Linked DNA regions of Arabidopsis thaliana. The protein of the gene in region 1 interacts with the protein of each later gene in a pairwise test. Each region holds a gene or a part of one and is shown in the gene's direction. Other genes may lie near its edges.

Region 1 (6,198 bases):
CATCATCTCAGTCTCCGTCCCAGACGCAGACATAAACTCTTGAGAACCAAAGAAGATTTGGTTCGTTTAGGTAAACCATTCAGTCTCCACTGTTTTGTTTTGATGTACATAAAGAGTGGAGAGAATGGCGGTTTTTATCATTAAAAGACTCTGATGTGAAGTGCAAAACAATGTGTAAATGCAGTTCTCTAGTTTCAGATCGTTTGTCCTAAAATCAGGTTTAGGGTTTCAGTGACCGGTTTAGTTATAAAGTCTAGCGGCATTGTAGTGATGTTTTGACATTGACTATTTATCGAGCAATGCATTTGCCATCTCATTTGCTTCTTGTTTGAAACCTTCGAGAGACGAAAATGATTGCCTTTCTAATCGCATAAGCACATGGTTAGAAATTATATCTTGTGTTGACCGATGCAGCTCCTCCGGCAGAAAATCATCTAATTCAAAGAGCTCTTGTGTAATTGCACGAATTGAGAAATCAGTTTAGTTTTATGAAATTGAAATCAATAATAGAGAAATTACATTTTATTCAGATGCATGGATACATTGTTTAAATACATTCATATGAACATTCAACACGGTAGCCTACATCATATATTTTCCCTATACAACGGTTCTTGCAAGAACCACATAATGGTCGAGAAATATTACATTTGGGAAGAACTTGAACCCTGCATACCCATTTATTGAAATATTGACCGGGCTTGATATATGGGTCTCCACCAATTAAGCATTCAATATGAAAAGTGGTGCAACACTCGTTGCACCAGTAGAATACTTTTGTGCATGTATCCTTTAAACTACGTTCACATATTTCACACCATTCTTGCTCACGTACTTCTTCACCAAATGAAATTGTGAGGAAGTGTGTGTCATGCTTATATTTTATTTTGTATGGTAAGGTAACACACTTAAAACATACAATGAAATTGCATTTGATGCAATTTAATTGTTTTAAACATTCTGTTTTGCATATATGACATATGGGTTTTATTTCTGGGTTTAAAGCTAGGAACAAGGGATCTTCATGACCTTTGTAATCAAACGGCTCAGAAATTAAAGCGCACCTTACATCAAGCTTGAAAAAGTTGCATACCTCCATCCTACAGTGATAGGCAAAGCCAATAGAACCACGATCACAAGCGTTGCAACGGAAGGTATTGTAAGTAAAGCTATTGATAACCTCCAATACAAGTGGGTGAGGATGTAAGGCATGTTGGATTCTACGGGGAGCCTTAGCACATGTTTCATGGAGGATGAAATCACACTCCATACAAACATATAAGTTACCTTCATAGATAGGAATGGCACACGCTTGACAAAGCATGTTTTCATCATAAACGTTGCTGACCTCGAGTCGGAGATGATGATTATGATGAAAATAAAGTATCACTCCTTCAGATATCACCTCGAACGGTCCATCATTTTCTGTTATATCGATTATCTCTGGTATACCTTCGAGTTCTTTTCCATCCCACACATCTTTCCCAAGAGCGCATATTGAATGAACAACATAATCGCTACACGTGTCACAAGTATATGCACCATAATCAACGTTAATACTTAAACGGCAAACTCCACAAAACCATTCTCTAGATGTAAGAGAAAAAGTGAACGAGATACGATGACGGTGACGTGATATCTTGATGATGTGTGGGGAATTCATACAGTCATTATGAGTTACAAAGTTACATCTGAAACAAACGTAGGTGGGATAAATTTTTCTCAACAAACCACAAACATTACAAGTCAAGGAAGTTTGTCTGGGGAAAAAAGTGAGAGGATGGATATGCTTTTTTGGTGGGTCTATAAGAAAAGGTATTGGCTTCATCGCACATATGGGATGCATAAAAGCCTGGCATGTGGTGCAATGATAAATCAACCAATGTGCTTTTCTTCCACAACATAAACACTCAATCTTACGAAAGTTATCATCATGAAAGAAAAGTTGGAGATAGTGCTCAGGGTGGTAAGGATGTTTGATTATAAGTGGAGATTGAATGCATTCTTTGTGTAATTTTATGCTACAATAGTTGCAGAAATAATAGTCGGTGCCGGAATTTGAGCCTTCGCATATGTAGCATCCACCATCAGCATCAAATTCTTTATTGTTGCACCAAAACAAAGGGAGTACATGATGATCATGAGAGGTCGTCGTTGTAGAAAGGACGTACTCGGGGGAAGAATTAAGCGGATAAGTGTCTGAATACGACTTGATTTTTCGACGTCGTGATCGAGGGCATAAGAAAAGAGGTTGAAGGTCACTGGAGGAGGTTACGGTCTGTGTTTGGGGTATGGGGCAATATTTCGGATGATGGTATACCAAAACAAGGTTACCATCCTTTTCCACCTCATAAAATCCTCCGACGCTAGAATCCATGAATGTGTTAAGTCTTTGTTTATTTTTGTTTTAGGCTTTTATAAAAAAATATTTGTCATACAAGATATCAAGTTGTTAACATTTTTCCTCTATAAATACGAAAATTTGATTCCAAAAGTTTTCTTCTACTCTTGATTATTAATATACTTAAACGTGAAAACATATGGTTGATTTTGTTCCTTTTCTCAGTAGTTGTGATGATAATGTTCTTCTTTACATGCAAATAAAGAATCAACTTTTCTTTGCACATAGTTTTGTTCATTTCTGATGTTCCATGACTTCAAGACTCTATATTAATCGTGCTCAATGATTGTGCCAATTCATTAGTAGTGTATAATTTGAGACTTTGTGAACTCAATCACGAAACACACAAAAAGAAAATGAAGGTTTATTCAAAAAAAAAAAAAAAATGAAGGTTTGAAATGGAAAATGAAACAATCGTACCAAAACCAAATTGCAAAACGTTTTAAACAAGAAAAGAAGAACACGTAGTTTCAATGATCCGGTTGAATTAGAAAGTAGAACAACCGAACCCACACTAAATTGCAAAACGTTTTGATTAAGATAAGAAGAACACGTATGGAACATTAATTGTAATCTAATGGATCGGTTGGAACCTAAACCATAACTAAACCGGAATACTCATGATGAATTGGAAGTATTTGGGCTCGAAAAAAGCCCATTAAGAAAAATGGAAATAAAAATAGTCACAAATCTCCGTTATTAATTTTTGCCATAAGCTTGAGAACACTTGAAAAGACAAGATTCGCGAGTTCTTCGTTCTGCCTTTTTTTTTTTTTTTGTGTGTTCGAGAGATGTCTGCCTTTGAAGACGATTCCTTCGTCATACTCAACGATGATGCGTCTGAGTCTGTTCCAGTCTCAGGCTCTTTTGACGCCACTGATTCTTTCTCAGCTTTCGACGGCTCACTCCAAGTCGAGGACTCCGTCGACGATGTTTTTGCAGCGCCGTCTTCTGACTACGGTGCTTACTCCAACGGTGACGGCATCTTCGGATCCAACGGGGATCACGACGGTCCTATCTTGCCACCACCGTCGGAGATGGAATCAGATGAGGGATTTGCTCTTAGAGAATGGAGAAGGTTAGATCTACTCAAAGTTTTGATCTTTGTTGCTTTTTGTTTACTTCTTCCTGAAGAAAATCGATAAAGTGGATAAATTTAGTTGAGAATCTCTTTGATAATCTGAGAATTTCAATTTTGAATTTTGATTCACAATTTTTGTGAATTGAAGTTATCTGCTAGTTAGTGTCCATTGTTCTCAGAAGTAATCAGTTTATTAGATTGGATCTGTTACTTTTGCTTAGAGTTTATTGCTCAAATCGTGTGTTCTAGAATAACATCTTGATCCGTAAGCTTGTAATGCTTGTTGAGTTGATTAAGATGTATAGATCTGATTTCGTGCTATGGCTTTATTATGTTTATGTGTAGACAAAATGCAATTCAACTTGAGGAGAAGGAGAAGAGAGAAAAGGAATTGTTGAAGCAAATTATTGAGGAAGCTGATCAATACAAAGAAGAGTTTCATAAGAAGATTGAAGTAACTTGTGAAAACAACAAAGCAGCTAACAGAGAGAAGGAAAAGGTTTGTTCTTTTGCTAAAAGATTTGAATTTTTTATCATCTTTTCTCAATCTGTGTTGTTGTCATGTGGTTTGTGGAGAATTGTCAATGCAAGTCAATGGCTTGTTGATATTAAAATTTTCAAACTTTGACCATCTTAGTCTTAAGTCAACTGTGATTGATTATCTTAATGCATTGTCAGTTTTGAGATTATCTTAATACATTGATTATCTTCATTACGTGTGTGATCTTTGATACCTTTTTATCTGCATATTGCATTGTTACAGTGTTGATTAAACTTTCACTTATGTGTTTATTTGTCTTTGAACACTTAAGCTGTATCTGGAGAACCAAGAGAAGTTCTACGCGGAATCCAGCAAGAATTACTGGAAGGCAATAGCAGAGCTAGTTCCTAAAGAAGTTCCAACAATAGAGAAAAGGAGAGGAAAAAAAGAGCAACAAGATCCTAAGAAGCCAACAGTCTCTGTGATTCAAGGTCCAAAGCCCGGTAAGCCAACCGATCTAACAAGAATGAGACAAATATTGGTGAAGCTCAAACACAACCCACCTTCTCACCTGAAACTCACTTCTCAACCTCCATCGGAGGAGGCGGCTGCTCCTCCAAAGAATGTTCCCGAAACCAAGCCCACTGAGGCAGTTACTGCTGCTTAAAAACCTCCTTTGTTTTCTTATTCGTTGCTTACATCTGTGTGAATTCAGTCTTTGCATTTCATTATGTGTTATAAACAGCTGAGAGATTTTATGGTTCATGTGTGTTATTAACATAATTATGTCATATTGGAATGATAACTTTTTATGTTTTAGTCAGTTACCATTGAATAGTGGTTAATATCTCAAATCAATCGGTTAAAGGATCCATCCATTTTAGGGTTAAAGTAGAGACGAGAGTGGAGAGGTTTACATAAAACATCAAAACGCTACTTCACATATCATCATTATCAAACTCGTGTGATAATTAAAACTCACAAACAATAAAAGAGAATCTCAAATGTGAACGTTTTACAAAAGGCTTTTCTTCTTTCTTCCTTCATCTCCCTTGTAAGCTTGCAGGGGACCTGCAACCTCTCTCGCTGCCTGCGTCGTCTTCCTTTTCACTTGCCTCTAAGCAAATGCCATTGTTGTTGCAGACACTGATCTCTGAGCTTGCGTTGCTGCTTGTTGCTAGTGGAGAAGAGTCTGAAACATTCATCGGTCTACCACGTGTATGTCCAGACCTCACACTGTACATTGATGATGCTGGAATATTCGTCATTAGTGGTCTCAGGTTCCCTGGAATAGTTCTACGTATATCCTGTTTTCATCAAAACGTTTGATCATCAGTTAAACGCAATTGCCACCACTTGAGGAAGAGAGAAGAGAGAGATACATACCATATGCCTTATTGCCATATCAAGGGACTTCTTGGAGAGCGTTCTTCCAAATCCTGCACTGTCGGGTGATGAAGACTTTGCAGACAAGTTACCATGAGGAGAACCCTTGTCATCTGATCTGGGTGGAGCAAGTTTCCGCATGTTTATTACTCTCTCCACCATTTTTGTTCCCATCATCACCGGACTAACATTGTCACTGGCTTTGGAATATCCACGATTAACCGCAGGAACAGAGCTACCACTAGAGTACATTGGTGCTCTTCCTCTTGATGGTGAACATGATTGCCTTCTTGGTCTTCCTCCTGGAGGGCCCCCTGGCTCAACTGAACCAGAACGAGAGCTTGGAGCTCCAGGTCTGCCTCTTGTCGCTGAAAGTGGCCTTTCGGGTAATGTTGTCCTTAGATTTGGAGGAGTTTCTAATGAGAAACCAGGCATGTCTGACGGCTTCCATGGTCTTGACCTCACTGTAGGAGATGCTGCACGAGATAAAGCAGGGTTCTTAGATGGTGTTGGCATAGGCTTTGCTGGCGCTGGAGAAGAAGGCTTGATTTGGGATATTGTGGGATTTGCTGTAGTAGTTGCAGCACTTGCAGAAGCAATTGGACGGCGAGTTGGTGTAGATGACCTTGATATGGTTTTAGATGGAGGAAGTGTGGGTCTTGAAGTTGGTGTTGAAGATCTGGCAGTAGATCTTGACAGAGGTGTGGTGGACCTTGAAGGACCTGCAGATTTTGTGGTGGTGCTAGGGGTAGATCTAGTTACTGAACCAGCAGATCTAGCAGTTGAGGTAGTCGGCTTAGATGCAGTAGGTGTGAGCCTAGATGATGATAAACTTGTTGACCTACTCAT
Region 2 (6,198 bases), on another chromosome or scaffold:
TGCATGATTCAATTCTTAATTTATGTTTACACACCATAAATTGTTTTTTTTTCTAAATAAGTTTTTGTCTATCCATAGTTGCTAACGTGGTTTTGCATTTTTATAAATAGCTAATAATTCCATTTTCTATTATCTTATCCGTCACCCCTTCTCTCTATATAAAACCATTTTCACTTTCCTATAAACGTACGTGATAACCCCTATATATATCTCAATGGCCGGTTCGGTTATGGTTCCGTCCGTTTCAATCGGTTTAGCCTTATCTGTCTTAATCTTCTTCGCTCTTTCCCTCAAGACCCTTGAAGCTCGTGGAACCTTCGGCAGGCTTGCCGGACAGCCACCGCAGAGGACTGCTGCCGGCGGCATATGCGCTTCTTCTGTTCACATATTTGGTTACAAGTGCGAAGAACATGATGTACGTACGACATTCTTTTTTTTTCTATATAGCTATTGATGATGATTACTCATCGATATATTAACTGATAAAGCTGCTATTTTAATTGTTAAATTATGAAGGTGGTGACTCAAGATGGGTACATATTGAATATGCAAAGGATACCGGAAGGACGAGCCGGAGCCGTCGCCGGAGATGGGGGAAAGAGACAACCTGTCCTAATACAACATGGAATTCTTGTCGTAAGTTTTACTCTTCCTTACCTTTTTGCATCGCCTTAACCGTCAATTAACTTGTGTATACACACGCATGCTACTTTTATGTGCAGATAATTATTGTGATAATATCAAACTTTGTTCCAACATGCATGAAATACATCCAAACTACAAAGTCTATTATTAAAAACATATATAGCTGTAATTAAACCACTGCATCGCACTCGGAATATCTGATTACTACATTGAAGCTGTTTTCCATTACATAAATTTTTGAAAGTAAGAAAAAGTGGAAAGTGACGTCAAGGGATAGTGAGAAAAACATTATTAGGAGAACATTTTATACCCGTTTTCAGAAGTTATACAAATGGAGAATATGTGCATATATTATTTCAAGATGATTTACATCTATAAATAGACATATACACGTGGGCCAAAACCAAACGTGTATACTTCCAGTGGATGCCTCATCAACAAGTATGTACATACATATATATATATATATATATATATATATATATATATATATATGTACATTTATCCTTATATCGTATGTGCGTGCGAGTTTGAAACTTACAAGTAAGATTAATTAGATTAATGTCTGTATCTTTTTTTGATAAAGAATGTGCATATGTGTTATCTTAGTGGTGGTAAAATTAAAACATTAAATAAAGAGACAGCATGAGTGTTAAACATGTGTGTCCAACAAATAAAGTGATAATTGGAGCGTTACTAGAAAGGTAATTAAAATAAACTCAAGTGATAAACAACTTTTCTGGTATGGAAGAATGATTGTACCGTACGTAAGTGATATTATATAAATAACCGTGTCGACTCTCGACTCTGGTACTCATCGAATTCTTAAAAATCATCGATAAAGTGCATAAGTACAAAACTTGATGAGATCAGTACTACTATTTTCATCAGCCTGCTAGAAAGAAAATACTTTATGACTTGCCTTATGTTTTAAGTTTTATGTGGACAGAGACGACAGTCGTACGTATGCAGAATTGTAATTTGTCTCTTTGACAACATGGTCCTTTAATTTCTTATAGTTTACATTACTATGATAGTCAAATAATCATGAGTTAAATGTGCAGGATGGGATGTCATGGCTGTTGAATCCAGCGGATCAAAATCTGCCGTTGATTTTGGCGGATCAAGGATTCGATGTGTGGATGGGGAACACAAGAGGGACTAGATTCAGCAGAAGACACAAGTACCTTAACCCTTCTCAACGGGTCTGGTTCAGTGAACCACTGTTTTAACCAGTAGATTACGTATATATCTTTACTAAGGAAACTGATATTTAACATCGTTGGCACGTTGTGGACTTAGGCTTTCTGGAACTGGACGTGGGACGAGCTTGTGAGTTACGATCTGCCTGCTATGTTTGACCATATCCATGGCCTAACAGGCCAAAAGATTCACTACCTCGGACACTCTTTGGTGGGTCCAACGTTATCAACATATTTTTTCTCTGATTTTTTTCTTTTTCTTATAGTAATATATCTTCTCATAATAGAATGAAAAATGAAATGGAAATTGTCAGGGGACGTTAATAGGATTTGCTTCGTTCTCAGAAAAAGGGTTGGTGGATCAAGTGAGATCGGCGGCGATGTTGAGTCCCGTTGCTTATCTCAGCCACATGACCACCGTCATCGGCGATATCGCCGCAAAAACCTTCCTCGCCGAGGTCCCTAGCTTCTCCCTTGTAATACCCTTTTTTATTCTTATACAAATATGTGCCTACAGTTATGAAAATAACTTGTTTATCGTCTTTCAAAAATAGGCCACCTCTATTCTTGGATGGCCAGAGTTTAACCCGAAAAGGTAAATCTTCACCCTTTTTTCTTAAAATATGCTTGTTATTATTGGCTTGATTTGATTACGTAAAATAGTTAAAACAACATTTGCAGTGGATTAGTAGGGGATTTTATAAAGGCTATATGCCTTAAAGCGGGGATCGACTGTTATGATTTAGTCTCTGTTATCACTGGTAACGCTACAACTAAAAAAGTCCACCAATCTACCATTGATGAATTAATTACATATATTAATTAACGTAATTTTACAAAAACATAGGAAAGAATTGCTGCCTTAACGCATCAACCATTGATCTGTTCCTTGCCAACGAACCTCAATCTACTTCCACCAAGAACATGATCCACCTTGCTCAAAGTAAGTGAAACAAATTCCCATTTTTTAAAAATTATTTTATAAACCTTAAATTGTTCAAATTATTTATTTGTAGCGGTAAGAGACAAGGAGTTGAGAAAATACAACTATGGAAGCAGTGATCGCAACATAAAACATTACGGTCAAGCGATACCACCGGCATACAACATATCGGCGATCCCACACGAGCTTCCGCTTTTTTTCAGCTACGGTGGTTTAGATAGCCTGGCTGATGTGAAAGACGTTGAGTTTCTCCTTGACCAGTTTAAGTATCACGACATCGATAAGATGAATGTGCAGTTTGTGAAAGACTATGCTCATGCTGATTTCATCATGGGTGTTACTGCCAAAGACGTTGTTTATAACCAAGTTGCTACCTTTTTCAAACGACAAGCTTGATAATATTATTACCTTGTCATTAGTTTATGTAATTGCATGTGCCCATATTCTTCAATTGTTTCCCTCTAAACAAAATGGGCAAAAATAAAATTAAAATTTTTATGAAAAAGTATACCAGTCTACTAGCTTCTAATTAAAATAATCCCAATATTTAATTTAGATTTTTTTTTTCTTTAATCTATAAACAATGGGGCAACCATTATCTAATTTACCCTAGTTTTAGGTATATTTAAGAAAGAACACTAAAACTACAGATTCGTATTTGACAAAAAAAAAAAAAGGAAACGAAAAACTATAGTAAAACAAAATTATGTGGAATGCTTTTCTTTTTAATTTTGTCGTCAAATTGTATGTGGATTTGTCGTTGAAAAAAAAACACATGGATTAAAGTTGGGCCAGTTTGATATAACTCAATGTGGGCTTTAAAAATACGGGTCGGGTCTTAACCCGGACAGTAAAATAGATAGCTCCGGTGGGCATTTGTTTTTGTTTTCTCTCTCGAGTCTCGACAACTGAGAAGCAACGGAACACCGGTGAATCCCGGAAAGAAGGTGAATCAAAAAAGCAGGTACCAAGCTGCGAATCTTCGTTTTTTTAAGGAATTCTCGATCTTTATGGTGTATAGGCTCTGGGTTTTCTGTTTTTTGTATCTCTTAGGATTTTGTAAATTCCAGATCTTTCTATGGCCACTTAGTAGTATATTTCAAAAATTCTCCAATCGAGTTCTTCATTCGCATTTTCAGTCATTTTCTCTTCGACGTTGTTTTTAAGCCTGGGTATTACTCCTATTTAGTTGAACTCTGCAGCAATCTTAGAAAATTAGGGTTTTGAGGTTTCGATTTCTCTAGGTAACCGATCTATTGCATTCATCTGAATTTCTGCATATATGTCTTAGATTTCTGATAAGCTTACGATACGTTAGGTGTAATTGAAGTTTATTTTTCAAGAGTGTTATTTTTTGTTTCTGAATTTTTCAGGCTGATAGGTTTATATAGCAATGTCTGGTAACAACAACAATCCACAAAAGCCTCAAGGCTCTGCGCCTTTGCCTTTTGGGAATCCTGGGATGGCCTCTGCATCTGTTCCTGGAAACCAAGGTTTTGCTCAGTCTCATATGGCAGCTAACTTTCAAGCTCAGTTTCAGTTCTCTCAAGCTCAGGCCCTAGCCCATGCTCAAGCACAGTCTAAAGTTCAAGCACAACTGCAAGCTCAGTTACAAGCTCAAGGCATGACGATGAACCAAGCACAAGGTTCTCCGGGGATTGGTGGCTTGGGTCCTTCTTCTCCTTCTTTGACGACTCCTGGAAGTTTAAACATGAAGAGATTCCAGCAGAAACCGCCGATGCGACCTCCTGGTGCTCCTGCGAGTAACAACACTATCTCCCCAATGAGAACAATGGAGTTAACTCCTGCTGCTCGGAAAAAGAAACAAAAGCTTCCAGAAAAGTCATTGCAGGAGCGGGTGGCTGCAATCTTGCCAGAGTCTGCCTTATACACACAACTTCTGGAGTTTGAGTCTCGGGTTGATGCTGCGTTAACTAGAAAGAAAGTTGACATCCAGGAAGCCCTTAAAAACCCTCCCTGCATACAGAAGACTCTTAGGATCTACGTTTTCAACTCGTTTGCTAACCAAAACAACACGATCCCTGGGAATCCTAATGCTGACCCGCCAACATGGACTCTTAAAATTATTGGTAGGATACTGGAAGATGGGGTGGATCCCGACCAGCCAGGGTTTGTTCAGAAAGCAAACCCATTGCATCCCAAATTCTCGTCTTTCTTCAAAAGGGTTACAGTTTCCCTGGATCAGAGGCTGTATCCTGAGAACCCATTGATCATATGGGAGAATGCTCGATCACCTGCTCCTCAGGAAGGCTTTGAGATAAAGAGGAAAGGGAATCAGGAGTTTGCTGCTAGTATACGGTTGGAGATGAACTACGTCCCTGAAAAGTTCAAGCTTTCTACTGCATTGATGGATGTTCTCGGGATTGAGGTTGAAACCCGCCCAAGAATCATCGCTGCAATTTGGCATTACGTTAAGGCGAGGAAACTGCAGAACCCAAATGACCCCTCTTTCTTCAACTGTGATGCTGCACTTCAGAAAGTTTTTGGAGAAGAAAAGTTGAAATTCACTATGGTCTCTCAGAAAATATCTCATCACTTGTCGCCTCCACCACCTATTCACTTAGAACACAAAATCAAGCTCTCAGGAAATAATCCGGCCGTATCAGCATGTTACGATGTGCTAGTGGATGTACCCTTCCCGATCCAAAGAGATCTGAACAATTTGCTAGCCAACGCAGAGAAGAACAAAGAGATTGAGGCTTGTGATGAAGCAATATGTGCAGCCATAAGGAAAATCCATGAGCATAGGAGGAGGCGGGCATTTTTCTTGGGGTTCAGCCAATCGCCAGTTGAATTCATAAACGCCCTGATCGAATCTCAGAGCAAGGATCTAAAGGTCGTTGCGGGAGAAGCCAGTCGAAATGCTGAGAGAGAACGTCGATCAGACTTCTTCAACCAACCTTGGTAAGCTAATCATCTAGACTCTGCTACTCTGGCCTTTATTCGCACAGATGATATGTATTAAGAGTTGTAAAATGTTTTTTTTTTTTTTTGGTCAAAGAGTTGTAAAATGTTTCTGAATCATAATTTGGGGTAAAATGTTTGCAGGGTCGAAGATGCAGTTATACGTTACTTGAACCGGAGGCCAGCAGCTGGGAACGATGGGCCAGGGAGTTGGTGAGTTTCTTGACGATACAAGTCTCTTCATCTGTTTGAGCATTTTTAGTAGAAGATATTGTTGAGATTAGTCTGGTTTAAAAGTGAACTAGTGTATCTGTAATCTTGTGTATGTTGAAACATTACTACTTTATATAATTAGCTTTGTTTTGTAGCCTTTGCGTTAATGGTTAAGTCATGTTTTTATTAGCAAAAGGAAAATAACATTGGCATTATTAAAAAAAAAAAACACTTAAAGTTGAACAAAAACGAAAATGTTTGGAAAGAGTA

Evidence for each region. The genes of interacting proteins can lie anywhere in the genome.
Region 2: the proteins of CLC2 (region 1) and CHC1 interact in a protein complementation assay, tested with the Arabidopsis thaliana proteins (one study listed by BioGRID).

Annotation. Positions count from the first base shown.
Region 1 is NC_003071.7:16,723,372-16,729,569, forward strand, and holds CLC2 (Clathrin light chain protein), read left to right. Parts: upstream 1-3,052; 5' UTR 3,053-3,192; coding exon 3,193-3,479; intron 3,480-3,827; coding exon 3,828-3,981; intron 3,982-4,294; coding exon 4,295-4,630; 3' UTR 4,631-4,836; downstream 4,837-6,198. Other genes in the region: NRPD1B (nuclear RNA polymerase D1B), read left to right, coding at 1-35; AT2G40050 (Cysteine/Histidine-rich C1 domain family protein), read right to left, coding at 548-2,377; AT2G40070 (flocculation FLO11-like protein), read right to left, coding at 5,007-5,270, 5,350-6,198.
Region 2 is NC_003076.8:4,568,430-4,574,627, reverse strand, and holds CHC1 (SWIB/MDM2 domain superfamily protein), read left to right. Parts: upstream 1-3,633; 5' UTR 3,634-3,754; intron 3,755-4,163; 5' UTR 4,164-4,183; coding exon 4,184-5,715; intron 5,716-5,859; coding exon 5,860-5,932; 3' UTR 5,933-6,148; downstream 6,149-6,198. Other genes in the region: MPL1 (Myzus persicae-induced lipase 1), read left to right, coding at 215-415, 517-636, 1,710-1,850, 1,948-2,058, 2,162-2,305, 2,402-2,442, 2,529-2,608, 2,695-2,790 and 1 more; AT5G14160 (F-box family protein), read right to left, coding at 6,161-6,198. UniProt on the Arabidopsis thaliana protein: Involved in transcriptional activation and repression of select genes by chromatin remodeling (alteration of DNA-nucleosome topology).